Linked DNA regions of Lepisosteus oculatus. The protein of the gene in region 4 purifies or fractionates together with the protein of the main gene of each other region. This does not show direct contact. Links are inferred from orthologs where the notes say so. Each region holds a gene or a part of one and is shown on either strand. Other genes may lie near its edges. The genes, in order: ctdp1, gar1, lsm4 and wdr77.

What was found.
Region 1: the proteins of wdr77 (region 4) and ctdp1 fractionate together in Homo sapiens (co-fractionation; 3 studies listed by BioGRID and IntAct, with this or other methods). This does not show direct contact. The link is inferred for Lepisosteus oculatus from reciprocal best matches to the Homo sapiens genes WDR77 and CTDP1.
Region 2: the proteins of wdr77 (region 4) and gar1 purify together in Homo sapiens (affinity purification with mass spectrometry; 3 studies listed by BioGRID and IntAct, with this or other methods). This does not show direct contact. The link is inferred for Lepisosteus oculatus from reciprocal best matches to the Homo sapiens genes WDR77 and GAR1.
Region 3: the proteins of wdr77 (region 4) and lsm4 purify together in Homo sapiens (affinity purification with mass spectrometry; 3 studies listed by BioGRID and IntAct, with this or other methods). This does not show direct contact. The link is inferred for Lepisosteus oculatus from reciprocal best matches to the Homo sapiens genes WDR77 and LSM4.

Annotation. Positions count from the first base shown.
Region 1 is NC_090705.1:15,799,246-15,807,168, forward strand, and holds the start of ctdp1 (RNA polymerase II subunit A C-terminal domain phosphatase), read left to right. Parts: upstream 1-4,906; 5' UTR 4,907-5,422; coding exon 5,423-5,727; intron 5,728-7,923. Other genes in the region: adck5 (uncharacterized aarF domain-containing protein kinase 5), read right to left, coding at 237-312, 894-1,043, 1,191-1,276, 2,755-2,778. UniProt on the Homo sapiens protein: Processively dephosphorylates 'Ser-2' and 'Ser-5' of the heptad repeats YSPTSPS in the C-terminal domain of the largest RNA polymerase II subunit. This promotes the activity of RNA polymerase II.
Region 2 is NC_090696.1:56,886,806-56,894,191, reverse strand, and holds the start of gar1 (H/ACA ribonucleoprotein complex subunit 1), read right to left. Parts: upstream 3,011-7,386; 5' UTR 2,909-3,010; exon of another isoform or gene 2,904-2,908; intron 1,085-2,903; 5' UTR 1,083-1,084; coding exon 923-1,082; intron 1-922. Other genes in the region: ragulator complex protein LAMTOR3, read left to right, coding at 6,438-6,559. UniProt on the Homo sapiens protein: Required for ribosome biogenesis and telomere maintenance. Part of the H/ACA small nucleolar ribonucleoprotein (H/ACA snoRNP) complex, which catalyzes pseudouridylation of rRNA.
Region 3 is NC_090724.1:3,861,269-3,868,350, reverse strand, and holds the start of lsm4 (U6 snRNA-associated Sm-like protein LSm4), read left to right. Parts: upstream 1-4,061; 5' UTR 4,062-4,157; coding exon 4,158-4,160; intron 4,161-5,852; coding exon 5,853-5,894; intron 5,895-6,582; coding exon 6,583-6,681; intron 6,682-7,082. UniProt on the Homo sapiens protein: Plays a role in pre-mRNA splicing as component of the U4/U6-U5 tri-snRNP complex that is involved in spliceosome assembly, and as component of the precatalytic spliceosome (spliceosome B complex).
Region 4 is NC_090700.1:36,485,197-36,492,965, forward strand, and holds the start of wdr77 (methylosome protein WDR77), read right to left. Parts: upstream 3,019-7,769; 5' UTR 2,714-3,018; coding exon 2,614-2,713; intron 1,303-2,613; coding exon 1,117-1,302; intron 380-1,116; coding exon 238-379; intron 1-237. UniProt on the Homo sapiens protein: Non-catalytic component of the methylosome complex, composed of PRMT5, WDR77 and CLNS1A, which modifies specific arginines to dimethylarginines in several spliceosomal Sm proteins and histones.

The DNA.
Region 1 (7,923 bases), on a different chromosome or scaffold from region 4:
AAGAATACTGTAGTCACACGTAAACAGAACTGAATGTCTTTTATTGAAATTTACTCTGTCTTCTGGCAGTCTCCCATCCATCATCCTAGATGTACTCAGAAATACATCCTCACTGTATAGGGGTGTGAGTAAAGCAAAGCTCATTCTAAAAAAATATATTTTAGGATTTCAGTTTATACAGCCCATTTTGTTATTTTGTCTTAGGCGTGCTCACATTTACCGTGTTCAAAATTTACCTCATCCAGCCCCTGCAGGCTGACGTTTGAGGTCCACCAGTAATCAAGGGAAATCGTCAATCCAACACACAGTGACCTGCATGATCACAAACACGATTCTTCAGTTCAGAACAGTCAAGCACTGTGAATACAATACAGTAGTCCCCCATCCCCAATTCTGAGGCCACCATCTGAGGACACCCAGCAGTGAATTGTGTATTTACACAACATGTCAAACTTTGCCCTTTGGAAATGATACACTGGGCCTCACAACACTGCCTTGTCTTCCATATTCATCTTAATATGTACTTGCTAAAAAAAAAAAGATTGAGGAAAGTTATTGAAGAGACAGCTGTAAGCTAAGTACATGAATAGTTCCTACAGCCTCACCCAATACAGTAAGCCAGACCATTTGCAATTACTAAAACCACTCCCTTCTTTGAATATCCAAAGAACAGACTCCTCCATCGTTTTTATCTGCATCATTTTTCCTGGAAGTCCGAACTTGTAATAGAGCTTCACTCCAGATACTGGGGCTTATTTTAGCATCAGATAACCGAGCCTAAAAGCTGCCAGTTTCTGGAGAATCGAGCGGTGAAAGTTGGCAACCCAAAATGCACGAAACATTTCAAGCCATCCAGCAGGCAAATGTGAAAAAAAACCAAACCACAAACACACCTGCCAAAACGGCCCAGCCCTTCAAACAAGATTCTCATCCTGCGTCTCTCCCGCGGCCCTGACAGGGCGTACTGCACTCCCAAGACCAGCGGCACGCCTGCCGCAGCGCCCACTAGCACCTTCTTCAGAAAACCCCTTCTCCTCATCGGCCTGGGGAGACACATCAGCCGTTACCATCTACCGCTCCAGTTCTGAAGTTTCTGTCCAGGTGCCGTTTCCGAGGACGCCTGTTGCTAGGACAGTACACACAATCCACTCTCCTCCAGAAACATCTTGCCAGCAGACGGTATACATCACCTTGCAGACCAGGAGCTCAGATGGGCCAGTGGGGCAGAGCCTGGGTTGTGGTGCAACAGTGCCCAGTGGCGCTGACACAGCCGCAACTGCAGGACACAAAAACATAGAGCCACTTAATCCAGAGCCAGACGTCTTTCTGTGTGCTGGAACACCAGACCAAACTGTTTTTTTTAAAAAAAAAACCAAAACAATTCACAAAGCACAACAATACACATTACACCAGAGCGAGCAATATCTTAACACTGCCAACAATATAGGGGTGTTTTTTTAGAGAAATTCTTGCTCTCAGAGATCCTTTTCAATTCAACCTGATGAAAATATCCTGGACCAATTCCCTATGATCAAAAGCCCTTGAGGACAGTTAAGGTTTCCGAGTTTTAAACTTTGCAAATCCCATTATGCAGAGCACCACACCCATAAATGGGCACAGTAATCAGATGATGAAGGGCTTTCTTTTTCATGCAAACAGGGTGAAATGTTTTTAGAAGCGGCACGGTAGAGAGCAACTGCTAAATCAAGGCTGCTGGTGTCCATTCAGAGGCACAGTTGTTTTTATTAGCAGTTTAAGAGAACATCTTGTTACAAACCAGATGATTTAAAGATAGCGCTTCAGTGTCAGGGACCTGACCCGAGACAGTGGGATCTGTCTCATTCTGAAAGAGCCGATATGAAGGGGAGAAACTGGGAGAAAGCTGAAAGTGTAAGCGAAAGGAAGGACAGCCCTTTTTTCTCCTTGTCTCTTCACTGACATTCACCCTTGTAAGAGTTTCGACACAAGGCAGCTTGTAACTTGCCCTAAGCCATGTATTGAAGCTGGAGGGGACAGATAAGGTTCTATTAGCTTCAAGTCAGCAAGCAAAAAAGACCGACGATCGTTTATTCCACACCTTATGTTATTAAAAAAGATTCCCGGGGATTGTTCCTTTCTAAAGGCTGGTAATAATAACTAACGCGACCAGTGCTGTTTCCGCATTAACAGTTAAATGGGTGAACAGCAGAGCAATAAGACATGCGGTAACACTACAATGATGGTAAAAACAGTAACCAATTTGACGTATTAACGTGGTTGGAATATTGTATTCTACATATACATTAATTTATGGTACATCAGAAATATTAAAGGGGAAGACAGTTAATTCTTAATTACCCTTTCGTCTGCTACAGACTGATGCATTTGGCATGATCAATACAGCGTGCAACTGTGAACTGGGAGCTTTGCGAATAATTGTTCTTGCTGTCATTACACCAGCACTATCAAAGACTAACCTCACTTGAAGACTGCGTCTTCCAACTGACACCCATTATCCCTTTTTAATATTCATAAAACTGCACCGAAAAAAAATACTACCCGTTCTGTCTCGGTACCAGCGAAATCTCACACGCATAAAAGCACGACACTAGAATTTAGAATATTTTGCAAAGTGAACTTGTCACGAGAAAGCCGTCATTTGGCACTACTACGGACTGCATTTCTTTTCTTGCCCGTTGAAAAAGTTGTCAACCACTTTCAAAAATGCAACTCGCTAAACCCTTGAAGTGATCTTTACTGTGTTCATTCGCTTACCGCTCTGAAAGTATCTCCGGCCATGTCGCTAAGGAGAACAATGTGTAAAACCAGTCTATGCCCGGACAGTATATGGAAACGCAGGCTGTGATTGCCAGTCGCCCTTTGCCTATAGTTAACGAGCAAGGACTCTGACGCCTCCCCTCGCTATTGCCAGGCTCGCCTTACACACGCACTGGGGTCATGTGACACGTGGGGTGACTGACTAGCGTGAAGCTAGCGTCGTTAAGCGACGCTAGCTTGGCAGCACCTTTCAAAATAAAAGCGTGACTCCGGAGCTGGCAGCTGATTTACGCGTCACGTCACGTGGACGGGATAAGACTTCCTGCTCTCCTTCCCGGTTGGGGTTTTTAAATTTGTGAAGGTGCCACAAAATAAACGAGGGAGGAGGTCCATACACCTTTTAGAATACCGCTGCCTGTATTTATAGTGTAATCTTTATCAGCTATAGATTTGTGATTACCGTTCCTCCCTGGCCTTATTTATTAAGGGTAGCGTTTTTGTAATAGGTAGAAACTTGGTGCAGAAAAGGACAGCGCACTGAGGTGGTTTTAATCTACAGTTTATTTCGAATCAGAATATGACAAACTGCTGCTCTCAGGTGGGATGGATTGGTTTTGGGTTCTAAAAATGAGGCCATACTGGGCCAAAAAGAGACTTTATAACTGTCAGTGAAGTACTTTAAAATGAACCCATTTTATTTGGAAAAAAACATATAATTAATTTTTTAAAAATCAGTTTACTAAGAAGTAAATGTGCCAGCAAGAGCCCTTACAGATGTCATGTTTCATGACGTCAAAGCTCGCGTTAAAATGTGTAAAGCTTGGGCTAAGGGTTAGAGAACATGCAAACTGTTTCTGCTTGTTTACATTACATGTTAGGGTGGTGCTGTGGCTCTGTGGCTAAGGATCTGCACCTCTGGCTGGAAGGTTACCGGTTTGTATCCCATGGCTGGCAGAGAAATCCTACGCCTTTGGGCCACTGAGCAAGTCCCTTAATCACAACTGCTCCAGGGGCACTGTATAAATGGCTGACCCTGCACTCTGACCACAAGCTTCTCTCCCTGTCTATGTGTCCCATGGAGAGCAAGTTGGAGTATGTGAAAAGACAAATTCCTAATACAATAAATTGTATATGGCCAATAGAGTGATCTTATCTGCCAAATGTTTTCCCAGACTTTTCTATATAAATCTTTCTGCATTTCCTTTATGGTTTCTATAGTAACTGCTTATCCTCCTATTTTATTAGCATCATATGTATACTTGACTCATTTATTCTCTATAACAGGCCAGAATACAGGTCATTCTGTAACAGTAGGAGGAGCCTCAAACACCCCATCATAGGCGTCTTAAGTCATTGTCTCCTAGCAACAGATGTGTCGACTCACAGACATTCACAAATTTCAGAATGATTACTGTCAATAAGACATTGAGAACCTTTATTCTTTCTTTATAATGCAATACTTTTGAAGACCAAAATATTTCATTTCAACAAACAGGTAAACTAACTGAATGTAATGAATATGTTTAAGCTTCACGGCCGTCATCAACATTTGTTCTAACAAATAAGGATGCTTACATAGATAAGTGTAACAGCTCATCGTTTTTTCATTATTACCAGTAGGTTAAAATATGAATTAATTTAAGACCAGGAACAATATACATTACATAAAGCAAGACACTAACAAAGAATACTGTATTATGCTCTTTTTTAAGAGGCAAACTGTCACCAAGGGGCTTAGCATCAAATTCAACTGTCAAATTGGGCAGTATGTCAACATTTCACGATGATTAATACGACTAATACCGTTTTAAAAGACAGGGTAACTTTGTATAGCAAAAAGTGGTAAAATAATTTTAACTCCAGTAACCGCGAAGTTGTTTTTTCTCTCAGAAACTATGGATGATATCTGAATTACTGAATTACTGTCCAATTCCAGGACCAAGATTTAAACAGGTGCCAGGCCGTGAGCATACACCTTGTCCTCCCGCAGCAAGCCCGGTCCTACCGCCGCCTACCTCAGCACCTGGAGCACCAGGGGATTCAGTATCACGCTGTTACATCACCTTGCATCATAATTACAGTTTTGTTGCCAAAGCTTACTCCAAGTCCTGAAAAGTAAACGAAATTACACAGCAATTGTGGATTATGTTTGGCACACTATTATACCTATTTAATGCCCCCAAAACCTAGCACTATTCTTAATATTTCGACGCACGTCCACTAGCAGGATAAAAAAAAATATCTGTACAGCTGTAAAAAAAAGACCTACTCTGTACCAAATCGCTATCCCATTTAAAAACGTCATACTGAACTGGGCGAAAATATAAGGTGCTTAATGATAGTGCCTTCCCGGCTTCGCGGAGCCGGAGCTGCTGTGAGGCGCTTCCCCCTGCCTCCTCCTCCACGGCGGCGGCGTCGTCTCCCGGAAGCGGTGCGGCAACCTGCTGCCTCTCGGAGGCTTGTGTTTCCTGTTGACGAGCGGGAAGAGCGAACCTGAACGCTTTGGTTTCATCTGCTGCTGCTCTCTGGTTTCCACTTTTCGCTTTCCGATTGCTGTCTCTTTAAAAGTGCAGAGAGCCGCCTGCAGTTCCGATTCGATCTGCAGCGGTTCAGGGCGCATCGCCTTCTCGGCTAAAGTTTGGAGGGATCTGGGGGTGCGACACGGATGGAGGACCCGGCAGACTCCGGCGGTGGTACCGCAGCTCTTGCGGGCCCCTCTAAGCAGGTGACGGAGATCCGCTGCCCGGCGGGGGCCCGTCCCCTGCGGCTGCTGGAGTGGAAGGTAAAGCCGGGATCGTATGTGAATATCGACTCCGTCCTGGCGCTGTGCGCCCCGCTCCCGGTGGAGAGGGAGGCCGGAGCAGAGCCCCAGGGGCCGCCGACTCGGTCGACGGAGAAGAAGGTGAAATCGGACCGGGCCGGCGTGGTCAGAGAGCTCTGCTGTCAGCTCGGACAGGTCGTTTCTCCGGGGTAAGTGGTCAGTTGTGGGCTGGGGGGACATGAGGGGGATTGCGGGTAGAAAGCGGCGCTCAGTAGTCATGCTTTGCAGAAAATGAGTGTTCGTGCTCGTGTTGATGTATCGAGGCGCTGCAGGGGTTTAACTAACTGTCCGAAACGGGCAGAACTTTGTAGGAACACACTTGCAAATTGATGTAGTCCGGAGAAAAGTTGCTTAAAGAGAAAGCGGGGTGATCATCAGATCACGCAACTGCGCGGCTTGTTCTCCTGTACGAGTGTGGATGAAGTGTACGGGGAGTGTTGAGTTAACTGAAAACTTATAACTTCGTGGTCCAAGATTGAAAATAAGAAAAGCTCAAGTTGTCTGGAGCCGCGTCTTGCGTTTCGAAGACAAACCCCTTAACATCTTAGTGCGTGAGACGTAGTTAAAGTTAGTGCAGACGGTCTTACAATTGTCTTTTTTATCTAGATGGCGCGTTTTAAATGCCCAGGGAAAGCGCACAGCGCAGTGTTTTCGCCAGGCCTACTGCACAAGACGTGTGTAGCTGCTTGTTGTACGAAAAGGGGGTGTGTTTGTACGCGTGCTCTTAAGGGGTAATGGCACCGTTTATGTTTTTTCCAGCCCAGATTGCCACTCGTGCCGAGTTTTGGAGTGCAACAACGCTTGGGTCTTCCCGAATTGCCACCGACGAGCATTTTGTTTTGCAGAGGACGAGTCGCAATAGCAGCGTCTGTGGAAACTGCTCACGGGGTGGGGGGCAGGGCCGCGTGCTGGAGCTGTCAGCGTCACGTGACTTAGTATTCTGTCAACATTGCCGCGTCGAGCTAAAGCACAGCCGGGCGGTTTATCATTCACTTAGTTCTTCTGTCAAACTCTGCTGTTACTGTCCTAATCTTAGGTGCTGTTCAGATTGAGATTGTAATGGTTCATTGACGTGCTGTTTTCCAGTGAGTGGTCCCAAACCCTGGTCCTGGGTGCTCCCTGTCTCTCCTGCTTTCATCCCAATTGAGCTGATCTGCTTGTTCTTTTAGACTTGTGTTTACATATTTATGTATTACGTTCTTAGTTACTTAATACACCTGTTGGATACTCAGCATACAGAACAAAGCCCTTAAGAGTTCGTGCCTTTTTTTCTGTCTGAATAGTTCTTCATATGTGATCGATGTTTGATGCACAGACAGTTGGGAGTGACACTGAATGTTTTTTTTTTCTTGTCTGCTGAGGTCCACTTGCTTACATTCCAGTAGCTGTATTGCCCTGCAACTCACTGGAGCTCAGCAGGTCTGAGCCTGGCCGGTACCTGGATGGGAGACCTCCTGGGAAAGCTAAGGTTACTGCTGGAAGACGTGTCAGTGGGGTCAGTAGGGGACACTCACCCTGCAGTCTGTGGGGCTCTTATTGCCCCAGTATAGTAAAAAAAAAAAGGTGCTGTACTTCAGATGAGACATAAAGCCAAGGTCCTGACTGTGGTCATTACAATCCCAGGGTATTTCTTAAAAAGAGTAGGGTTGTTTAACTGGGGTGTCCTGGCCAAATTTCCCATTGGCCTTTACCAGTCATGACCTCCTAATAATCCCCATCTTTGACTCTGTTCTCCTCCCCACTAATAGCTGGTGTGTGGTGAGCATACTGCCTTACTCTGGCTGCCATTGCATCTGAGTCCCCATTACCTGTAAAGAACTTTGAGTGGAGTCCAGAAAAGCTCTATATAAGTAAGCAGTTATTATTCCAGTCCACACAGCTGAATGGGGGTGATATCTGAACCTTAGAAATTGGTAGAGGTTTTAGTACAGTTGGTACAGTGTTTTGAGACATGAAAGTTTACCTCAACTAGAAGATTGATCAGTCTGTGATTAAGAAGTCAGATGGAATAAACTAAACACTGGATTATTCACTAGAGATGGTCAGTAAGCAAATGTAGCAGGGAACGTATAGGTTAGGGAGGGGTGTTATGAAGTTAAATTCAAAGTCTGTAAATGATAATGCTAATATCATGAGAACGGTTATAAATAAGAGGTCATCCTGTCCGTTTGGTAATTAGTATCGGCTTCAACAACATGATGGGGCAGCTGATTCCACACTCCCTCCACTCTTTGTGTAAAGAAGTGCCTCCAGTTCTCGGGTTTAAATGTATTTACACATAGTTTCCACTTCTGTCCTCTGGGTCGTGCTGCTCTGTTGATTCAGAAGCCATCCACTGCATTGAC
Region 2 (7,386 bases), on a different chromosome or scaffold from region 4:
AAATATTAAAATGAACTAATTAAAATAATGAGGTATCCTGGAAGACTGGGATGCTACTATAAAGAACTAGAGCTATGTTAAACCAAAAAAAGCATGCATAAAAGCATGCCACTTATGACAGTAAATAGTATTTTTTTATAAGAGCTACAGGACAAGCTTAAAATAAGTAGCATGGTTGTCCATAAGCCATGTGGCAACTCTGAAATTATCAGGGCAGTTTTATCTGTATAATAAAAAATATACTGTGGTTGGGAAGGAAGTGCTGCTCAAAAAAGCCAACTGCAAAAACTCAATCATGCTTCTGCAAAAAAATAGCTTTTTCTTTTCTAATTTAATCCTACGAATTCCTATGGTTCACAGCTGCATACTTAAATTAAACCAGAAAAGAAATTAAGATAGCAATGCCCTTAAAACACGTCTACAAGACATTTTGACAAAGCAAATATTGACAATATGCATTGTGTTCTTCGATGTACCATAACAGAGTTGATATAATGTACCCAAGTGGTGTGTTATATTACTTTTTTTGACTGGTTTTAAAATGGTCCACATAGACTTCAGTTCTAAATGTTATAAGAAACGATAATATATGGAAGAAATACTTCATCCTTTTGTAAGACCAGCGGTCTTCATATTTCATATAATGTCAAAGCTAAGTGTAACTGTATTTTTTTGTTCCCAACCAAGCAAATACCTTTTTAAAAGAAAGCACCTAATTCATAAAGATTTTTATAAAAGGTGACATTCCTTCATTTTGTAACTCAATCTCTTAACATGTAATATTTACATTTCTACAACCGGGTCTGCCAAATTAATTATTTTGCTAGTTATCTTCAAAATAATAAACAGCGACTGTGTACATCTCAGTAAACCCTACACAGAATAATATTTAGGTCTACAGTCAACGATAAAGTTTCTTTACCAACAACATATTCTGGAGGTCCAAAATCTTGTCTGTTGAAGCCTCCTCGGCCACCACCTCGAAATCCTCCCCCACCGCCCCGGCCCCCAAAACCTCCTCGTCCACCTCGATTAAACCCCCCTCCTCTGCCGCCTCGGCCACCTCCTCCACGGAAAGACATTGCTAGAAGAAAACAGACAACAGTTCATGAGGAGTAAGGACTTTCTCCCACTGGCCTTTTGGTCAGTGTTGTATCTGCAACACAAAAAAACGTATTTTGCTCAAATATAAACAGCAGACGTCCAAAGAGCTGGGATGTATCCTGGTTTCTGTAGTATTGAAGGATACATCAGTAGTTAAGGAACAAAAGCTACAATCAAAACCGTACAGTCTCACATTTGCATACAGCAACATCGACATGATACATAAGTGTTATAATTATTCATCAGAGCATCATTTTTTATTTATTCAAAGCATGACAAGACATTTATTATATTATTTATGACATTCGGGCACTTAGATCATTTACTTACATTACTATACTAAACAGACCCACTTACTGCCATTTGAGCAACTCACAAAACATTTCTGATCCTCCTGTTTTGCACAAGAAAAAAAAAATTAAAGTGAAATTTAAGCCCTGGCCTCCTAAACGTCGACTGCAAAATGCAGTGTTCCATTAAGTTAAAAGAGTTTTGTGTTTTTTTAGAATGTGTGACCTAGATTTCGTGATCCCACCTTGGTTGACCATCTTGGCTCTTAAACGTTACTCCAACAATTAAATGCTTCAACAGGTAAAAGCATATTTTACCTCAATTTCCAATTGAGAACTACCAATTGTGAATAACTAGGAATGAGACAAACTTCCCTAAAACCTGTCTCTCTGCAGAGCAATCTGACGCAATGTGGTCTGCCTTATCCTACCGAAGAGTTAAAACTCATTAAAATCAAGGAGTTACTTTCTGCTTGAAAACCGAGACCGAGTTGATCAATTAATCCTAATCCTCCCCTGGAAGTGCTCAATCACCAATTCCACAATTATGTGAATCTTTCTTTTCTAAAGTTCCTTGTGGGAACGTCTTCTAACACTATTGAAAACAAAAACGGTTAATTAAATTTTAAAAACCTACAGCTATACTCCACCAGATTAGGGTATGATGCATAAGAGTATTAATAATATTCTTAATTAGTATAAAAAGTATAACATTAATTCATATTATGATGTGTCATTGAGAAAGTGGGCTGATAAGACAGCATTTTGGGTAAAACCAAATTACAACAGAATAAGATACAAAAAAAAACCCGTCTGATACTAGCTTGCTCGGCAAATTGAAACTTCATTGAAATGATTAATCTGACACAGTTTGACCAGCTTTTTGTAACAACCTCATATCCTGACTGCAGTTTTTTTTTATATAAATGGGTACTAGTACCAGAATTGACTTTCACTTAATAATACATAAATGAAAGAAAACAGTACTACTCCCTTTTAGCTCAACTACTGTTCATGCTTCGCATGAATTTTGGATTCGCGGGGGAAAAAAATTAGAATCGGGTGAGATCGCAACAAAACTTACACTTTAGCTTTCAGTGGACAAAGCACATGTTCCAAAATGGTAATGAATAAGATGGAGCCACTTTATTATGCCACACTGAACTGAAGTGCGTTGCTCATTGAAATTAATCGACATTACTTTTTTCACGACGTTCACTTTGAAACCATGCATAAATATCTCCTTTAATTTAGGGGGAAGTGATGAAGACAAAAATGCCGATTAACTCTTAATATGTGATTGAACCAAAGCATACAATTATTTATGTAGAAATTAACGTAGGTATGAATTGTGAAGTAATTAAACTATAACCAAACTGTTCAGTTTTAGGTACTCCCCAAAGCAAACTGACTCATAAAATAGTTTGGAAAACTTCCTGGACTTTAACTAGACTATAAAGCATGACCCAATAAAAAATCATAAGCACATCTTAAAAAAAAAACATTTACCTCACCTTTATCTGAAATACCGCCTGCTCCCAAAATGCCCAATATGTTCTTTACACCACCACGCCGCGCTGATTTCCTACAACCACACGTGGCCTTTACCGTAAGTCAGTTGTAACCACAAGGATTCACACTGTCGTAAAATGCTTGTAATGCAAATAATCAGGAAATCCTATTTTGATGATCAAGCTCATAGTCACAGATACTGGAATCATTACAGCGTATTTGTCAAAACCTTAATCCTCAGTTGTTTATCTTTAGTTATAAACTAGATGTTCTTTTCATGTAACTCATAAGTATTTCACTTCTAATGATCTCTGTGATTTGCTGTACCGCTACTTGTAAAGCGCCCTGAGTGGAGTTTCCAGGAAAGCACTAAATAAGTGTGTAAGCAATTATTATTATTATTATTATTATTATTATTATTATTATTAAAAGGGTAACTGCAGGTAACAATGCTGGTTTAGTTGAGACCTTTATAACCATGTTTCCTGTTTCTTTTGTTTTTATATGTGAGGTGTACTGTAAAATTCCCATTTTATTTAATTCAGTATACTTTATAAATGTAGAAAAAACTAAAACAAGAATGCTCACATTTATGGGGAGGCACGGTACGATAGGAAACTCTTTACGTTTGTGACAGCGGAAGCTGTCAATTGTTGAAAGGTCAATTGTTAAAATACTTCCGTTTCTGTGTAAATATCATGTGATTTATTTCATTTTCTACAAACCTTCCGTAAAAATCTAGCAGAAGCAGGTAATATCGTCTTATTTTGCATTATAAGTCCAATTAGAGTATTCTGCCTTTGAACAGGTTATCGTATTTTTTTTCTTTTTTAAAAGGAATCATAGACACATTGTCTTTTCGTTTCCTTTTTATTTGGTTCAGCCGCTGAGGTCTCAGTTTGAAATTAATTTGTAGTAGAAATTAAAAGTAGGAGATAGGTCATCTAGCTTAAAAAGGTGACATATAGTGCCTCTAAATTATCCTATACATTTATCTTGACACTGATTTTGATAAAACGTTTATTCCTATTTCTTTATTAATTAAGTGTACGTTTAATTAACATTATACATAATTAATAATAATTAAACGTAAATGTTAATGCTCGTTGTCTTTGACATTAGAAGGAGAAGTGCTATCTATTTTTTCGTTCGGTCCATTCTGAAGCCCTAAATATTTTCTACCTCCTTCTCCAATAATATCAGACATTAATTTACTACTCATAAATTATAATATTTTTATTTTAAAATAATACTTATTTGACAGAGGTATTCCCAATAAATATAATATATAGTCTTATTTATTCTGGCCACTGGAACTAGTGGCAATTAAGTTGTTTTAATCTACAGTATCAGAAACATTCACACTTCCGTCTAAAAATTATATTATTTGCTGAAAGACGATTTAGTTTGAACGAGTGTTAAATTTGATGTTGGTGTCAAATGTAACTAAACTATCACATTTGAAACATTAAGAGATGTAGATTACTGTTATTTAGATTTGCAGTTTTATACATTTACAGTTTTATACATTTCCTTTAATAAAACAGAGTTTCATGCAAAAAAACTGGAGTTAGAAACATTTCTTGAAAAAAGTATGACACTTTCCAGTCCTTGCTCTTGTCCTTTCATCACAACATCTGATTTTAGTTGTTTTACTTTCTAGGTTTTTAACTTCTAATAAAAACACAGAAAATGGCAGATGTAAGTATTTACTGTATAAATTGTCTAAAAAATGTTGTATGTTAATGTTAGCAAACTGCAGATCTTTTTTTTTTTCCGTTGCTGCAGGATGTTAATTGAGAGAAGACAAACCGTTACCAGTGAATGTTGGAAAACAAATCTGATACTAATGGATACATATTTTCAATTTCCACTGTTGCATGAATCTTATCATTATGTTTTTCATGCAGTTCCTAACTTTGGGTGTAGGAACTGTAAGTGCATACAGTTGTATACAAATTGTAGCCTGAACAATTACTGTGTAACTTAAGTTGGGTTTAAAATATAACACATATTAGGACAGTTTGAAATACAGCAAAAACAAATATTTCTAAAATCATTGCAAATTGTCCTAAATATACAATATTAAAAACTATTCACCCTACAGCAATTAATATTTCTTTCATTTGCCTTTGGTGCTGATAATAATAAAAAATCACTTCCTGTAACCTTTTAATTTGTTCTGACAATATTTAAGTTAGATTTCTTACTGTTCTTCCATGCAGAACTTCTCCATCTCCCCCAAATTATGCTTCCTGCTCTAGCAAAATGCTTTATGTAGTACATTCTGTAGTACATTTCATAAATATTCTGCTGTCTAGTCATATGGAGGTCGTGTTGGTCAATCAAAAGCGGGATTAACACTAGATAAGGAGGTGTGATTTGGGAGCTCTTCAGTAAATAGGTGAAAAGTTCATTTACAGTTTTTATTTTTAGACAGAAGAATTACAACATTATGTCTTGATCTTATCAGATTTCAGAAGCTAAGCAGGTCAGTGCTGTTAAGGGTGATGTCCAGAGAAATTCAGGTTGCTGTTGTAAGTTGGTGTTGTTGGTAGAAACAGTAGGTGGCACTCTTCCCTTTTTTTTCCAAATCCTGTTCTAATGCCCCAGTATACTCCATTTCTCCAATACTCCATAAGAACAATGTAATTTTCATTGTGAAGCACTGTGGGTATTGCACTTCAGTGGTAATTCAAACAGGTGCTTATCTATATGTAGAAAACTTTGGGATAAAAAATTACTCAAATGAAAGGAAGAAATTGCTGTATTACTCAGACTTCATCAAGATCACTTCTAGAATCTCTTTCCACATTTCAGCTTTGAGACACTTCCAGGTGACCACAAAGCAATGCAATATTACATTTCTGGCCATCATCTTTAACAAGTGTTCATATTTTCATTTATTTATGTATATGGAATGTACCCTTTCAGTATTTTTAAACCAGCTTTGTTACATTGTGTGAAGGGTATAAAAGTGCTGTCTGTAACCACAAACCTTCTCATAATGGGAATGCACTAGTAAACAGCAGATCCCTCCAACAGCTATATCTGATTGTTTTTCACAGGAGCTGAAGAGGTATCTGTATAAGCAGTTGCCAAGGTTTGAAAACTTTAATTTGTTTTTTGCTATAGAGAAATCTATATTTAAGATATATCTAAAAGATATTTAAGAATCACTAGTGATGAAAGAGTGGTACAACATAAATGTTAGGTGCATTTTCTATGCAGTAGGGTCTCAATATTTGTGAGGGTTTGGCGCAGAGAAAATAGCAGAATTGCCATATAAGCAAGACCACCTTTATACTGTTATATAGTGCACTATTGCATATAGTATGTATGGTTAACAGACATGTGTTATCCCTCCCCTTATATGATGATTAAAGTACTAATGCAGTAGCGTTAAGTTAATTAAAATAACTAACACAATTGTAATCACAAAAATTGTAGAGATCAGTTAGCTTAATTTCTCCTCTATGTTCAGCAGATACCTGCACTTTTTTCTCTCTGCTTGATTGATGACCCACTGTAATGAAAAAGGCAGCTCTCAGTGAGCCTGTAAGGTCATCTCCAGCCTGTCAATCCCCACACCATAAATTCAACCAAGATATACTTAATAAAATATTACCAAGATGTTACTATAAAAAAACAAGGTGAGATGTGGATGTTGGGTAGTGGGTACTTGGGCAGGGGGAAGAGAAACACTCTCACAATCCTTGTCTGTTTTGCAACTAGTTTGAAAGTTGTGCTTAATAACCTCCGCCTCAGTTCTCTTCTTTCGTTACAAGAACTCTACCCCCAGACCAAACTGTGAAGAAGTGAAATTGCAAATGTTATATTCAGAAGTATCTAGACCCTGCCGTACTTTATTGCTTAATCATGGTTAAGCAAAGTGAACTGCAACATGTTTTTAAAATGTTTACACCGTTTTTAGACATTTTGTTTTTGTGGACTGGACTTTAGTTATCTGTTACTACAGACAAACAAAGGATTGTTTCACCCCCCCCCCCCCCTTTTGCCATGAATCAAGCACTAAAATATCAGTTTCCTTTAGAGGTAATAGATAATAGGTTGGAGAGTGTTTCCCAATGTGAAAGAGAAGTAAATACTTGGGTGTCAAAACCTCCTGGAAAATATCTATGACAACAGAAAATTGCCTTGACAAAAACACTAAAAAAATAGCTCATGGTTTATGACGTTTCCCTATAAAAAGGTAAAACTGTGCCAAAATTAATTATAAAGTTCTGGCATTTAAACTTTGGCCTATATGAAAACAGCACTTCCCCTTCCATGTTAAATTACACTAACATTTTCGATTCCTCCAGGAATCAGAAAACAGAGTTTTTAATTAATGGCCTACAAGTAGTTTGATATTGAAGTTAATTCCTTATGAACAAAATGATTCAACCTTTGCTCCTGATCCTTGTGCTTTATGGCAAAATTCTACTTTGATATATGTTGCTAAAGTTTTCCAAGATGT
Region 3 (7,082 bases), on a different chromosome or scaffold from region 4:
CAACAATGACTGATCTGCTTTTACAATAATCTTTTCTCACATTTGATTGGCACTTTGCACTTTTTTGCCATTTTCCCAGGGTAAAGCAAGATGTGCGATTGTAGCCAAGTATGAATTCAGAATTAAGTTCTGTATGATTACATTGATAGCAATATACTGTATAATAGCATATGGGTAATTACATGCATATATACATACATATGTGATAATTAAAGGCAGCAAAAGGTTTTTATATTTTACTAAGGCAGGAAAGTTGGTGTGTTCTTTAGGGAAAGAAATTGTAACCAAGGGGACTGCTGACCGTGAAATATACTCGCTTTGCTTCCAGTCTCTAACAGATGTGAACTTTTTTTTGTATGTTTTTATTAATGAGAACACAAATCATTCTCATCTCCCATTCCAGTGATCACACAAACTGGCCCTGGATGGGTAGGAGACAGTGAATCACATCTAAATGTCAGGTTCATGCATTACAATATTAGCTCTAAAGGTTTTGGCTTAAATCACTTGCCGATTCCTAATTTGTCCTAAAGGAGGACCCCCCCACAAAGTGTAATAAAGCGGGCAAAAAAAAAAACCAATATTTTTTATAATCGAGATCTCACATGCTCTGGTGTCGATTGCTCATGTTTTCCCAAGAAGCCCCAGGTCACTGGGTGGTATTTAGAAAGTAAATGATTCAGGTTTAGTAATGATTTAATTAATGAACTTGGGTCTGGACCACAGCTATACTGTAGGGAGCTACCGTCTTCCTATTAAAAAAAAAAGCAATATTTTTAATCACTGAATATGGATAGAATATAATCCCCATGTTTGCATGGATTACCTCCAGGTACTCCTGTTTTCTCTCCGTCCAGACACATACTGGCAGGTTAATTGGCTTCAGGGAAAGTGGCCCAGGTGTGGGTGTCTGCTGGTCTCTTTGTGCCCCATCGCTTGCCAGAAGAAACTGGGGCTCCCCTGCCACTCTGAATTGGACAAGGAGGTTGGAAGAGGGAGTGATGGAGGATGAAAGTTCATACTTTAATGCAGTTGTTGCTAACCCTGGTCCTGAGCTACTCCTGTGTCTGCTGGTTTTCATTCCAGCTGAGCCGTTTCATCACTGATGCAAGTTGATGCCTTTAATTGACCCGTTTGCTCAGTCCTTTCTTTACCTGTTTTTGTGTGCAGTCCTTGTTTTGAACAAACCCTTCTTGAAGCGTATTGTTCCAGCAATAGATTTGTTTGCAACTTTATGCCGTTTGTCCTCAACTAGATCATTAGGAAATGGCTAATGTATTTCTGTTAAAACAGTTTGGAACAAGTTTTATGTAAGTAAGGTTTGTGTTGAACACTATATCAGACACAACCACAGTGAGAATTTCTGTCCGTCTCCTGCAGGGGTCAAGCTGGTTACATTTCAGCTAACACACACGAGTCGTGGGAGTTCTGACTTGCAGCAATTGGCCCAAGGTGATCTTAGTTAGAAATCCCATCCAACATTTTAAGGGCTGAAAAATGATTTTAAAACCTGCCTCATTTAGAGGATTGAAAGATATTCGACTTGAATAAAAGCCAGAACAAACGGGGTTCCCTTATCACCAGGGTTGGAAACCACTTCTTCAACGAGATAATTTTGTGCTTACAATTAAAAAAAAAAAAAGCTATTTTTAGCATTTGTACAATAAAACCAAATTGATTACAATAGCAACATTACTTGTACAAATAATAACCTAAATGGATGCTTTAGGTACAGTATTAACCTTTTATGGTATTTACGATAATGGAAAGGGTGCTCTCTAAAATAAGGCTCAGTAGCAAACTCGCCGACATCTCACATATCCACCAGTCTGACGTTTCATTAATCAAAGGAGTGGCATTTTAATGGTCTTAAAAATTTAGAAGACATCTTTGAGTTATTCATACAACTCTTCAAAGGGCGTTTATTTCTCAACTTCAGGAAGGCCACGATATGCACATGGGGTCATGGAACAGTCACCGGAATAAGACATAAGGAGTGGAATAAACACTGATAAACATTACCAACTCTGTGATCAACGTGCAGAAGCTTGTTCAGGACAGAATATTGATTACTGGGGTGCTTGGAGCAGCCACAGCACTGATAGACAGTGACCTTTCCAGCAAGCCACAGGAGAGTTTGAGAATATACAGAACAGAACAAATGAACCACAGATATGCTTTCTTACCGCGTGCTGGCAAATAGGGTTTCAGAACATGGAGGGGGGGTAATGACTGTAGGTTTTTGTATATATTGGCAAAGGTTATCCACTCCAATCGAACATCAATCCTTCCTTCAAAAATCTCTCTCTACAACCAAATACTCTCTGTCTCTCAGCCAGTGTGCAAGGTATTATTTATATTCTAATGTGGTAGAGGTATGTGAAAGATATTTAGGTAACAAGACTCCCAGATGGAACTGCTCCCATATAGTCAACTAGCCACTGCAACAAATCACGATATAGGGAATGCGACTACTATTGCAAAATGGTCACTGGCTATTAAATATAACTTGTGACAGATCTCCCCCCCGTTTTGATGGTAACGAAGGGTGAGGAATGTGTACACTTACCTTCGTGTAAATTAAAATGAGGCGGGGTGGACGGACACCACTCGTATCCCATTCAGTATAGCCTGGTCATCTGTACTGCCCTCCGACATGCACACGCGCCGTTATCTCGGGGAGAAAAAGATTTTTTCTCATCCTGCACAAACATGCAACACATAAGGACTAAGGATGAATGGAGTCTTTGTGCGTTTTCTTTCGGGTTCCTCCGTCTTCTTTAAAGATAACTTAAGCTTTCATTCACGTGGTATTTTTTTTTTTAATTACCCCAATCCCTAGCAAACACATTAAATACAACCTTTGACACTAGTAACCTGAAATCTCCTTTTGAGATTAGGAGTGTAACCTGCAGCCCACCCTACAAGACTGCATTAACCCATACTTGACTCCTGAAAGCGTGATAATGTCGGCCAGCAATGACATTAATCAGGCTCACCTTATCAACAAAAATCTCACGAAATTTGCTTTTCATTGTCATTTCGTCGGCACAGAACCTATTTTTAATTTCAGGTCTGCTGCTCTTGAAAAAACTGAAGCCGCCATTTGCGCGATCTGTCGCTTAAAAAACGCCACGAAATATTTAAATGCTTTAGGTCTGTGTCCTAATTTAAAGAATAACTGAATTCATTCCTCAACTCTACACAGCTGTGCATTTGACAATGTTTATTCTAAACAAGCTGAAATGAAATGATTAGGAATTGCTATATCAGTAGTCCTGTCCTGTATAGGATGCGCCTATCACCAGAACAATAAGCATTCTGATGATAGGTTCGGAAACACGAATAATAGAAAACTATTGAATATTAATAGCAGATCAAAGGTACAAAGAGAAAAATATGTGGACATAGTTGTTCCAAAGCAGAAGATTTGTATGCCTCGCTGAATCATGATTAATGTTCCCTTATTAAACACCTTTAAATTATTTCGATAAATCTAATTAAACTCGTTACTAATAAAATCTGAACAATTTAATGCTGTCATGCTAACCGAGGGATGTGAGCTGTTGAGCTCGAAGTTTTGGTGGGGACCTTTTAACTGAATTGGCAGAGGGCCTAGTTAAATATCGAGGACTACGTGTGATATCACATCCTAAATCACATGTTCACATGGGGGTCTGGATGTCTCCAAATGTGATTTTTCGTAGGGACATCTTCAGATCTATTACGTCTGTCAAAAACACACTTAATACATTATTTTAGAAAAGGTAATCGCTTCCATCATCATATATATATATTACATATTCTTTCTTTTTCACACTGAAATATATATTTTTCTAAAGTTCCTTTGCTAGCTTTGTAATATACTCTTCCGCGTGTTCACTCTGCAGAACAGAAGGAGGATGCGAGCATGTTTTTACGACAGAAGCATACTTTACGGCAAACTGTACAAATCAATTGGCGGCAAATTGTTATCTCAAACTAACTATAGCATTCCAACGAAGAACCCTCCTTCGCTTCCTTTTGATTGGCTTATTTTACTCTTCACTCGCGTTTTTGAGGTATGATTGGAGAGTACAGTTATCCCTCATGGTTGTATGATTAACAGGCTGGGTTAACACAGTGAAGCAAAAATTATAAAAGGAAGCAGAAAGAGAATGGTGAGTTTTGCGTTTTGTGTACGAGGTTTGGGGGTTTATAGGTACTTATAGGTATTTTTATAGGCACTTTTACGGGAAAGGGAGGAGATAATTATTAAAATGCGGAAACGTGTGTTTACATCGCCCTTCACAGCGAGTAGATGCGATACTTAGAGGTTTAACTCGTATACCCGCATTAACAAGTACATTGCTTAACTTTACATTATCTGCAGAGGAAAACGCTTAGTTAATTCCATAGTCGCAGAAATGGTAGTTTTCATCGTAAGTTTCGTGCTCAGAGGTAACTAAATGTCTGTCATTCGTTAACATAAATCTCAAACAACGTGCCGCAACAGCAATTTAACATGAAATGCGAGTCCTGCGATGTTACCTATACACGTGTGTTACACGGCCTGCAGCTCTTCTTGAGTCTCTCGTTTGCGTTTACATTTTCCCCGTGTGACGAGCAGATTCGTACTGGTCCTCTGAATGTCTCTAACATCTCGTGTCCAAGTACATGATGTAACCGATTTTCAATTACAGTTAAATCTCTGGATAGACAAGTTAACCATTAGTCAAAACGTATATTCTGTTACCAGTGCGTTGAAAGTCAAATCTCTTAAAAATCTCTTTAAATCACTCTTTAGTGCTGTTAAAAAAACGGATATATGATTCACATTTCGTTATAGCTTGTGGTTTCTGCATAAATAATTATTTACAATATCAAGAGACTTACTCTTGGTCTAGACCTGAGGATAGCTGGCTTTAATTTTGCTAAGCCAGATGCTGCATTTTGCAGTGTTAGCATATAACTAACTGCATTTCCACTGTGTTCTGGCCCTGTTAGTTATTAGCACAAGTGATATGAGGGCAGCTCCATGTCATCTAGGTTTCAAGGGGGTGGTCAGCACCTGTAATGTGTACAAGAGCCTAAGTGTTATTACTGAGCAGGGCTGGGCCTTATGATGGGAGTCCTCTAAGGATAACCAGGTTTCTGCTGTAAGTAATAATTGCTTACACTTGTATAGCGCTTTTCTGGACACTCCACTCAAAGCGCTTTACAGGTAATGGGGATCCCCTCCACTATGTAGGCTCCCTGTGCAGCATCCACCTGGATGATGCGACGGCAGCCATAGTGCGCTGGAACACTATTAGTGGGGAGGAGAGCAGAATAATGAAGCCAATTCATAGATGGGGATTATTAGGAGGCCGTGATTGGTAAGGGCCAATGGGAAATTTGGTTACAACCCTACTCTTTAACCGGAATGCCCTGGGATTTTTAATGACCACAGAGAGTCAGGACCTCGGTTTTACGTCTCATCAGAAGTACAGTGCCTGCTTACAGTATAGTGTGCCCGTCACTATACTTGGGTATTAAGACCCAGATGGATCACAGGGTGAGCACCCCCTTCTGGCCCCACTAACACCTCTTCTAGCAGCACCCTTAGTTTTTCCCAGGAGGTCTCCATTCCAGATACTGGCCAGGCTCACTCCTGCTGAGCGTCAGTGGGCTGCCAGCTGGGAGTTGCAGAGTGATATGGCTGCTGGCCGAGTGTATTGAAAAAACAGACTTTTAGGGTTCTGAGTCACGTCTTTTCTTTTGTATTACTACTGTATTTCATAGAAAGTGGAATTTGTTAATTCTGCTCTTAAAAATATATTTTTTTGGTATCCATATCACAAAGTTTTCCTAAACCATTGTTGCTTTTCCAGCTGCCACTGTCATTGTTGAAGACTGCTCAGAATCACCCTATGGTAAGTAAGTGCGCATAAAATAATGCACTAATAAAATTACAGGGGCACCCTAATGAAAAAGGACATGAAATGTCTTTTACTCAGAACTGTTTTATCCGCTCAAGTTTTCTGCCAGCACCTGTAGCTTTTGATTTCCTATGTTTTACTCCTGTATTTAATGATTTCCTATTGAATGATTTCACCATGAAAAAACATCATGGTGAAAAGTATCAAGAGATCATATGGTTACATGTGTTGAACAGACAGAAAATGCTTTAAACAGTGTAAGAAATAGCTCTCATGGTCATATTGAGACAAATGAGCCTGTTGCTTTAGAGAAGGGTCCTGTATCCCCAGGCCTGTAGTGTGGGGTAGTGGTCAATGCTCTGGACTCCTGACAAGGAGTTAGAGGGTTGTGTGTTCAGAACCTAAGTGGTGATAAAGCTGCCAGACCCTTGAGTAAGGTACTTTACCCCGAGTGCTTTTGTGCAATAGATCTGTGTAAATCAAAAAGTAATTATAAACTCTCTCACACTGGATATAATTTGTATTCCAACATTTTTATAATAAAAATGTTTGAAAATGTGTTGTACTTTGTCGTCCGCTGTGCTATGCGTTTGTTTTTTGAATGAGATCTTTTCTTTTGTATTGCTCTTGTATTTTCTAACTGTTCAGAGCCCATCCTGACCCTTTTATTCTTGTTTCAAAGCTGGTGGAGCTGAAGAATGGGGAGACATACAACGGTCACCTAGTGAGCTGTGACAACTGGATGAACATCAACCTGAGAGAAGTCATCTGTACATCTAGGGTAGGACCTTTCTCATTGCTGTGTAGCGGGACTTGAAAGAGATGTCGTTAAATCTTTCGAAGTGTGTGACAGGTGGTGATGTATAGGTGCTGCAGAAGCTGAATTTGTACAGTTAAGGTACTGACCACTAGGTGGCTCTGTATGTTTAGAAAAGGAAATACTAGCTTTTCAGGAAAGCCCTTTAAAATCCTGATACTGTTATTCAGGTCTCCTCTGGTCTGATGAAAAGAGATGGAAGAGTTTTCACTGAAATCAAAGTAGACTTATAAGCCTGATGGAGATCAGTGTCTTAAGTGAGCTTAAGAATATAGCTTAAGAGAGTTATTGCCCTGGGTGAAACTGCAGCGGTGTGATAAAGACAAGAAGTTGTTTTTCGAACCTAACGAAGACTCCATTGCCAA
Region 4 (7,769 bases):
TCAGGAGACAAACAGGAGGTCATATCCACTGTCCTAATATGGATGTCAACACTGCAAGTAAAAAAATCTGATTTACAGAGGTCTATTTCAAAGTTTTACTCTTTTATCAATTCCTACATTTCCATTTTTCTGCCACAACGCAGCACAATGGTCCTGCTCGATGGATTAAGGCCCAGCACAGGGCAGCAGGCACGAGCTCCTGGCTTTCAGAGAGCAGGCAGTGAAGAGCACACTGACCAGCAGTCCATGCTGCCACTGACCGCCTGTGTCCCCTGGGCCAGCGGGCTGACGGTAGTGACGATGTCGTCGTGGTGGTGGTGGCAGAACTTGCTGACGATCAGGGACTCGTCCTCAGCCAACTCCCACAGCTCCACCGCGCCTGGGACAACAGACAGGCAGACATGGAAGAGACCACAGTGTGTCAGCTCTCCACACACTCACAGCAGCACAGCAGTCGCCCCAGACACTTCAGTCATAGCAGGGATAACTAGTTCCCTCTCTCTCTCGTCACAGAAGCCCAGTTGGGTTCCCACTCCCTTACCAGAACATTAAGAGGACAATCGAACTATAACAAAACCTCAACCAGCCACTCACTGAATCATCAGCGCTCTCCTCGACAGAAACGACAGAACAAATCGCTTTCATGTTTCACTATCAGAACTGGCTTCAAGCTTCAGAGAGTAGGAAGATAATTTACAAGGGGGTGAAATTCTCCACTATATGGGGAATGAGATGCACCATCACTACTATATGGGGAATGAGAAGTAACAATGTAGCAGTTGCATTTTCAATTGCCATTTTCCTGCAAACCAACACTTCTTCAATTACCCCCCTAGCATTCACCAAACACCTTACCCCCTAGCGTTCACCTTCCTAACACTTAAGGCTGTTGCACCCAACAGTTTCACCCAATGAAGCCAATAACATATGGTATTTAAATATCAAATATATTATAACATACAAACAGATTTTCTCTTTGCTGGTTTAAAAGTAATACATTGCTTCTAGCCACCCTCCCATACACTCAGAGCACGACAAAGGCTGATCTCCAGTGCTGAGCCCAGCTGGCCCTGGTTACTGCTCTGCCACTCCAACCAGAACAACGAGGAAACTCACCGGAGTCCGAGCCCACGAGGATACTCCGCTCGGACACCCACTTCGCGTCCGCCACGCCGGCCTCGGTCTGCACCCCGGCGCTGCAGTGCCCCTCTTTCGGCGCCAGCTGGGGGTCCTTGAACACCCAGATGGAGCCCAGCCAGCAGCGCCCCATCAGGCTGGAGGCACTGAGCAGCAGGGAGCCATCTGGAGGAGAGAAAAACAAACGCCACAGCGTTCAGGGCAGAGGCACTCCAGGGAGAACTATCAGCCAGCTACTGTGGGAAAATGGGTCACTGCTCCACAAGGAAGAGCACACCAGCAGAAACTACGAGAAAGAGCATTTAAAATAGAGAAAGGGAGGCAATTCTTTAAGGCCAGCCACACAGCTGTGGTTTATTTCAAGAAATGGCTGGTAAAGACCCTCAGATTGATCGGGTTTCAGCAACCAAAAGCCTACATTTTCCAAATAAGTGTAACCTCTCTTATGTAGACGTACCAGGGAAAGGTTTAGTTCTGAGAAAGTACTGACGTCTACCTGCCTTGAGGCAATATCTCCTAATGGAAGCCACACTCCTTTACTAATAGAACAATTACGTTTTTAATTGATGTTTTATACCCAGATGCATCTGCCTAAGCACGTACTGAATTAAAGACAGGAAATGGACCTATCAATCCACTCCTCTGCCCGTAATCCCTTTCAGAGCACCCCTGTCTCCTCACTGTCCCGTTCTCAGCTGCCTGTAGCCTGCTGCCCTCTGTCCCTATCCCGTCACCTAGATATGCAACACCCCACAGTCCCCCCTTCTCCCCCCGGCACCCTGGGGGAGGAAACACCTAGCAAACAAAATGAGGTCTTTTTGTCTCAAAAAGAAGAAAAAGAAAGCCCTCCCCATCAACAGCTGACACGTTCCAAAATATAGGCTCTTCCGATTGCACTTATATCTGCGGTTATGCCCAGCTAGGAAGCAAATTTCTGTACCGGGCACTCGGATCGTACAAAAGCACTAGAACCACGCTCGTTTTCACACTACGCTGGCCGACACGACGGGACAGCTCTCCGGACCGCCGGGCGGGCCTGCGCAAACACAGCAGTCACGCTGTATGGCTTCTACCGCCGCCGACTACCCGGGTTTGTGGTCTCGCAGAGTTTTAACGAAAGATCGCATTCCGAGATAACCTGCGGCTCCTGCCAGATAGTAAGAGACATTGTGAACGGCGGCATAAACGTTCAGACACACGGCGGTTACTCGGTAATGTACAACAGGTTGCTACTACGAGAACTTTGATATCACTATGTTTCCTGTGCTCCTTCAATGCACAGTTGAACGGATAGCGTGGCTTTCATTAAAAATAAAACATACAGCCACTAATGGCATACGAAAACAGAGTGTCAGGTAAAACGTTATTTTGACCGGTTCACCGATACAATTAAAGACCCGAGATCAAACAGGCCACATGCACGCCATGTATAACCCACAGACGACACGCCAATTAAACACGTAATTAATGATTTACCTGCTCTGTACTGGACTGAGTCCAGATGTTTTTCCATGCAAGCCGGGGCATTGGGAGGTATTTTCCAGCGATTTTCCTTGATCATAGCTGTAGTATTCATTCACACGCGGCTGCTGCTGCTTATATCAATTAACACCAACGAACTGGATTTCCGTTCTTTACTCTCCTCGATTGCTCCTGGCTCCGGATTTTAGGTTCCACATACAACAAGGTGCCAAGCCCGATTTCCGAATCCACCTCCAGCAACCCTCTCCACTCCAGTCCTCCCTGCCGAAAAGGTGTCAACTTTACCCTGCTGACACGCTCACTCTCCTCTTTTTTCCCCCGATCCAGACCCGCGAATGAATGAGCCAGAACTGCCAAGGTCCATCCACCACGTGCTTCCGCTTCCAGGTCCCCCCTCTGCACCAGCCCTGCCTCCGCTGGCCTCGCTCTCGCGCGAGTACCGGTTGCTTGGTTACCATTTGATTTGCCGCCCCTTTCCGCATATAATCATCACAAAGTGCAGATAGAGTACTGCAGAGCTAACGTCGACCCTCTACAGGGTCTTATACAAATAAAACATGTCACGATTTTGATTTTTATTCCTAAAAACGATTAACTTGAATACTTATTATTTAAAAATGTTTATCCAAGAGTTTAGTTTCATGTATATTCCAAAGAATTACTGATCAAGTAAGCGCAACTGCGCCTGTACTTCCTAAGACGGTTGAGGAAGGCTAAGATATGTCCCCAGATCCTCACTAACTTTTACAGATGCACTCCAGAAAGCACACTGACAGGCTGCATCACAGTGTGGTATGGCAACTGCAGTGCTGCTGACCGCAAAGCCCTACAGCGGGTGGTGAAAACTGCCCAGTCCATCACTGGGGTTACCCTCCCATCTATCCAGGACATTTATGACAGCGGTGCTTGAGGAAAGCTCTAAGCATGATCAAAGACCCCACACACCCCAGCTACAGACTTTATGATCTGCTACCATCTGGAAAACGGTACCAGAGCATTCGGGCCCGGACTACCAGACTCAGAGAGAGTTTTTACCCCCGCACTATCAAACTGTTCAATTCCCAGCCTCTCTCACTCTCACTCTCACCTCACCTCTCACCTATGATCTGAACCTCACAGTGCCTTCTTCCTTTCTTTCTTTCTTACCAAAAACCCAAACACACATTGAAAATCTACCTCTACCATACATGTCAAAAGCTCACTCCCCATATTTTCTATCCCTTTATTTTATTCTGTTAATGCATATTTTTGCACATAACCTGTTACCTTTTTGTTGTTTAGCACATTGCCTGTTGTTGTTTTTTTGCACATCGTCTGTTGTTGTTTTTTGCACACTGCCTGTTGTCTCTGTCTTTCTTTTGCTACACAATTGTATTGTTGTTGTTGTTTTTTTCTCTTTGTATTACTTATGTCCAAGAGCTAGCTAAATAGCATTAAGTTATACCATATACCATGCTCATGTACAGTGAAAGATACATCATTTTTAAACACATTAGTAAATATTTTACCAAATTAATATTCATGTTATACACTTAATCAGTAATTCGGGAGTTAAGTGCTTTGTTCGCAGTGTGCATGAGTATAATGGACCATGTGGCGATATTTGTAACAATTATTTATCATTCTCAACTGTGTACTTTTACGTAACAATTTTGACAGTAATCGATCATGTGATAGACGAATCAATCTCGTTATGACAAGAATAACAGCTTCCCGTGCAGCCAGGCCTTTGAGCGATAAACAGCGGCATCCACCTGCTTTCGAAGTACGAAAAAACAAGTAATGTTCGGCGAATAGGCAGTTTTTCATCTGGTTATTGCATTTTAAACAATATGTTTAGCTTTTCAGATTTTTGAAGTTCCAAATAAAAGATTCATTATCAAATTACAGGGGCTAGGTATGCAACCACTTGGACTGAGAACTGATCAGTGAATATAAGACAGCAGAGATCACTGGGGGGATGTAATTAATGGAGTACCTGAGGGATCTGTACTTGGATTACTGCGGTTCCTAATTTGTATCAAGATTCTGGTATAGTCAGTGAACTATTGAAGTGTGAAGATGATAAAAAAAACCAGAAGAATTAATAAATACTGTAGAAGGACTTTTCTTAATGTAATTTAAGCCTGGGTTAACACCGGGCAGATAATGTTATTGTAGACAAGTGCAGAGTATTGTATGCCGGTTGCAAAAACGTAAATTATAGATACAAAATAGGAAACACTGAGCTTGAAAAGACATATGAAACTGCTTTAAGTATTTATATTGACACATCATTTACACCTCTTAGGCAAAGTGAGGAAACACAAACACAGAATATGTAGTTAAAAGCAATTTAAATCAATGGATATTATGGTACATTTGTATCATACACTAATAAGACCTAATTTAGAATATTATGTACTGATCTGGTCACCGCATTGCAAAGAGATAGTGACAGAGACAGTGCCATGTTTTTTGTTGCTGCAGTCTTTTGAATAAGATGTTAAACCAGGGTCCTGACTACAGTATGTGATGTCAATAGAGATCCCATGACACTGTCTGTAAAAGTAGAGCTTTTAACCCTTAATTTAAATTAACCCCAGTGCCCTGACTATATTCCACTATGGGCTGAATGATCTGGTCACAATTAAGTTCCTCCTTAGTTCAATTTCTTAATCAGTGTCTTATGTCTCTGTCTGATCTGTTGTGCAGTGGGGTTTGCTGGTACAAAATGGCTGTTACCCATCAGCCTAGTGGGTGGGAACTGTACTTATGTGTTAGCGTTTTTTGTAACTCAGGAAATGGTTTCAGTAAATGAGAATTAAATTAGAAAAAATGTCCATCCAGTTCCAGTCAGCCCATTTTTGAAGCTGATTGGTTCTACAGTGAGTTGGTTAACAAAACCATCCATCCATTTTCTAACTGCTTCTTCCAATTCAGTATTATGGGGCAGTCGGAGCCTAACCTGGCAAGCAGTGGGCAAAAGGTGGGGTACACCTTGGATGGGAGGCCAGTTCATCACAGAGCACACACAGATACACACACATACTCACTTGCACCAGGGCTAATTTCTCAGAAGCAAATTAACCTACCAGTATGTCTCTGGACTGCGTAAAGAAACCGGAGCACCTGGAGGAAACTGTATTGAACATGTAGATAACATACAAAACTCGAAACAGATATCACCTCAGGAGCAGGAGTAATGCTAAAAGCTGTGCCACAAGAAATTTGTCAACAAGCTGTAATCTTAGTGACCAAAGCCATGTAGTATTCCTGGTATCCACAAGAGAGCACCAAAGAACTGTTAATTTATCCTAACCCTCCCACCTTTGAAGCAGGCTTTCGACCTGAGTACATGTCAAGAGCTAGGGAAAAAAATGATATAACAAACACTTGAGGAACACGACGTGCAACTCAGAACTCCACTATGAAATGCAAATGAACCTGTATTTACTGGTGATGTATGCGTTGGGTTGCAATAGGTCACAGAGCTGCATTTTTATTCCTTTATTTGAAGAAGCAAATGTAATTCTACAAATCTGCATACTCAAGGTCACTGTGGAGTATTTTGAATTAAACAACACAAAGCTGGGACTGTTCAGTTTCCATGCCACGGCTAGCTGTCACAAGCTCACCCCTGAAAGTCTGTTGGTAATCCATTGCATTATTTTAATTGGAATAAGCTTCCTGTGTGCTGAGATAGACAGACAGATTTGGTGTGACCCACTGTTCACTGCTCTGTGATCAGCAGGCATTCGATTTTGCAGTTGATGTTGTCCATTTCCTTTGTGCAAATCTGGAGCTGACCTGTGTATAACCCTCAAAAAGAGTGCTTCTAGGGACAACAGGCGATGGTCAGTGAGAGGACAACGGGTCTCATTTTCAAGGCCTTTGACTTATACATGAACCAGCTGCTGTAGACAGCAGAAATAAACATAGTGTTGGCCTGTTTTCTTCTTAAAGAAATCTCTTTCTGGATTCTGTGTACTCTATTCCCAGTAACATAGGTGGTCTAATTATTTAATTAACTGCCTAATTGGAATACTACCAATCAGGTCCTGAGGTGTTCAATAGGTAATTGTGCATTTAATGAAGGTTTCGAGTAATTGACTGTAAAAGACCTTACAAATACCCTATACATGTGTGATATAATTCATTAAGAAAATAATTAGGTTAATTGTTTAATAGAATATTTAGGTTGGAAGAAAATTCTGAATACTCAGGCTAGAGGTATTTTACTATGACATCTGAATACTATGCTATTCCAAGTCTTTGCTCCAGCTTATCCTTAATTAATTAGTGATCTGCGTCACTGGGATTAGATAAGCAATTAAGGATCAGTTCAGTGTGTACCTACCATCCAGGGCTAACAAAACTACTTTTGAAGAGTTCAGTTGCACTGCTTTTCCCTGCTTTGTCTCTCTGATGGTGACTAGAAACAGTGCTATGTTTACACTGTTAGGAGGCTCTGCTGGATCGTTTAAGTCTGATCCATTTTTTAAAGACCCTGCATAGCATTCCTAACATTTATTTTCTTTCATTTAAAATAAACATTATGGATTTTCTGCTTAAAATCTCTTTTCGAATATCCCCAGTGGTTTCTTATGTAAAAGTGGGATGTGGATTGTGGAGGTAGGACATTCTGCTGGGACACTATTGTCCAAGTCCTTAAAAACTGCTTTTCTTTCTCTCTGCTTCTGTAGTTCTGAATCTCTCCCCATTGTTTGTGCTCAACCCTATAGCTGGACTCAACCACTGTGGAGATGACACTTGGTAAGAATGTTTTAATTCAGAATACGTAATCCTTGCTGTACTTATACACATGTTCTATAATACTGTTGACTTAATAATGAACAGTTCACTTATTTCCATCAGATTATTAACCTTTCTTGGGTGATCTATAATGTATTAACACTTTAATATACTGTATGTTAGGGCACTGTACCATTATAGTAAATTGTTGATATGAAGGTCTAAGCCACAGACAGTAAATAATACAATTATAAATGCATCAGTAATGTGCGCTTAACATGATAAGCCAGAAAAAGTCTTCCTTCCAGCTGCCAGTGAAGCTACACATACACACTCTTCAATAAACCTCATTTAAGCTTATGCAATGCTGTTTATCTAGTTGCTGGCTGCTTTCCACTGCCCTGTTGTCGAGTGGG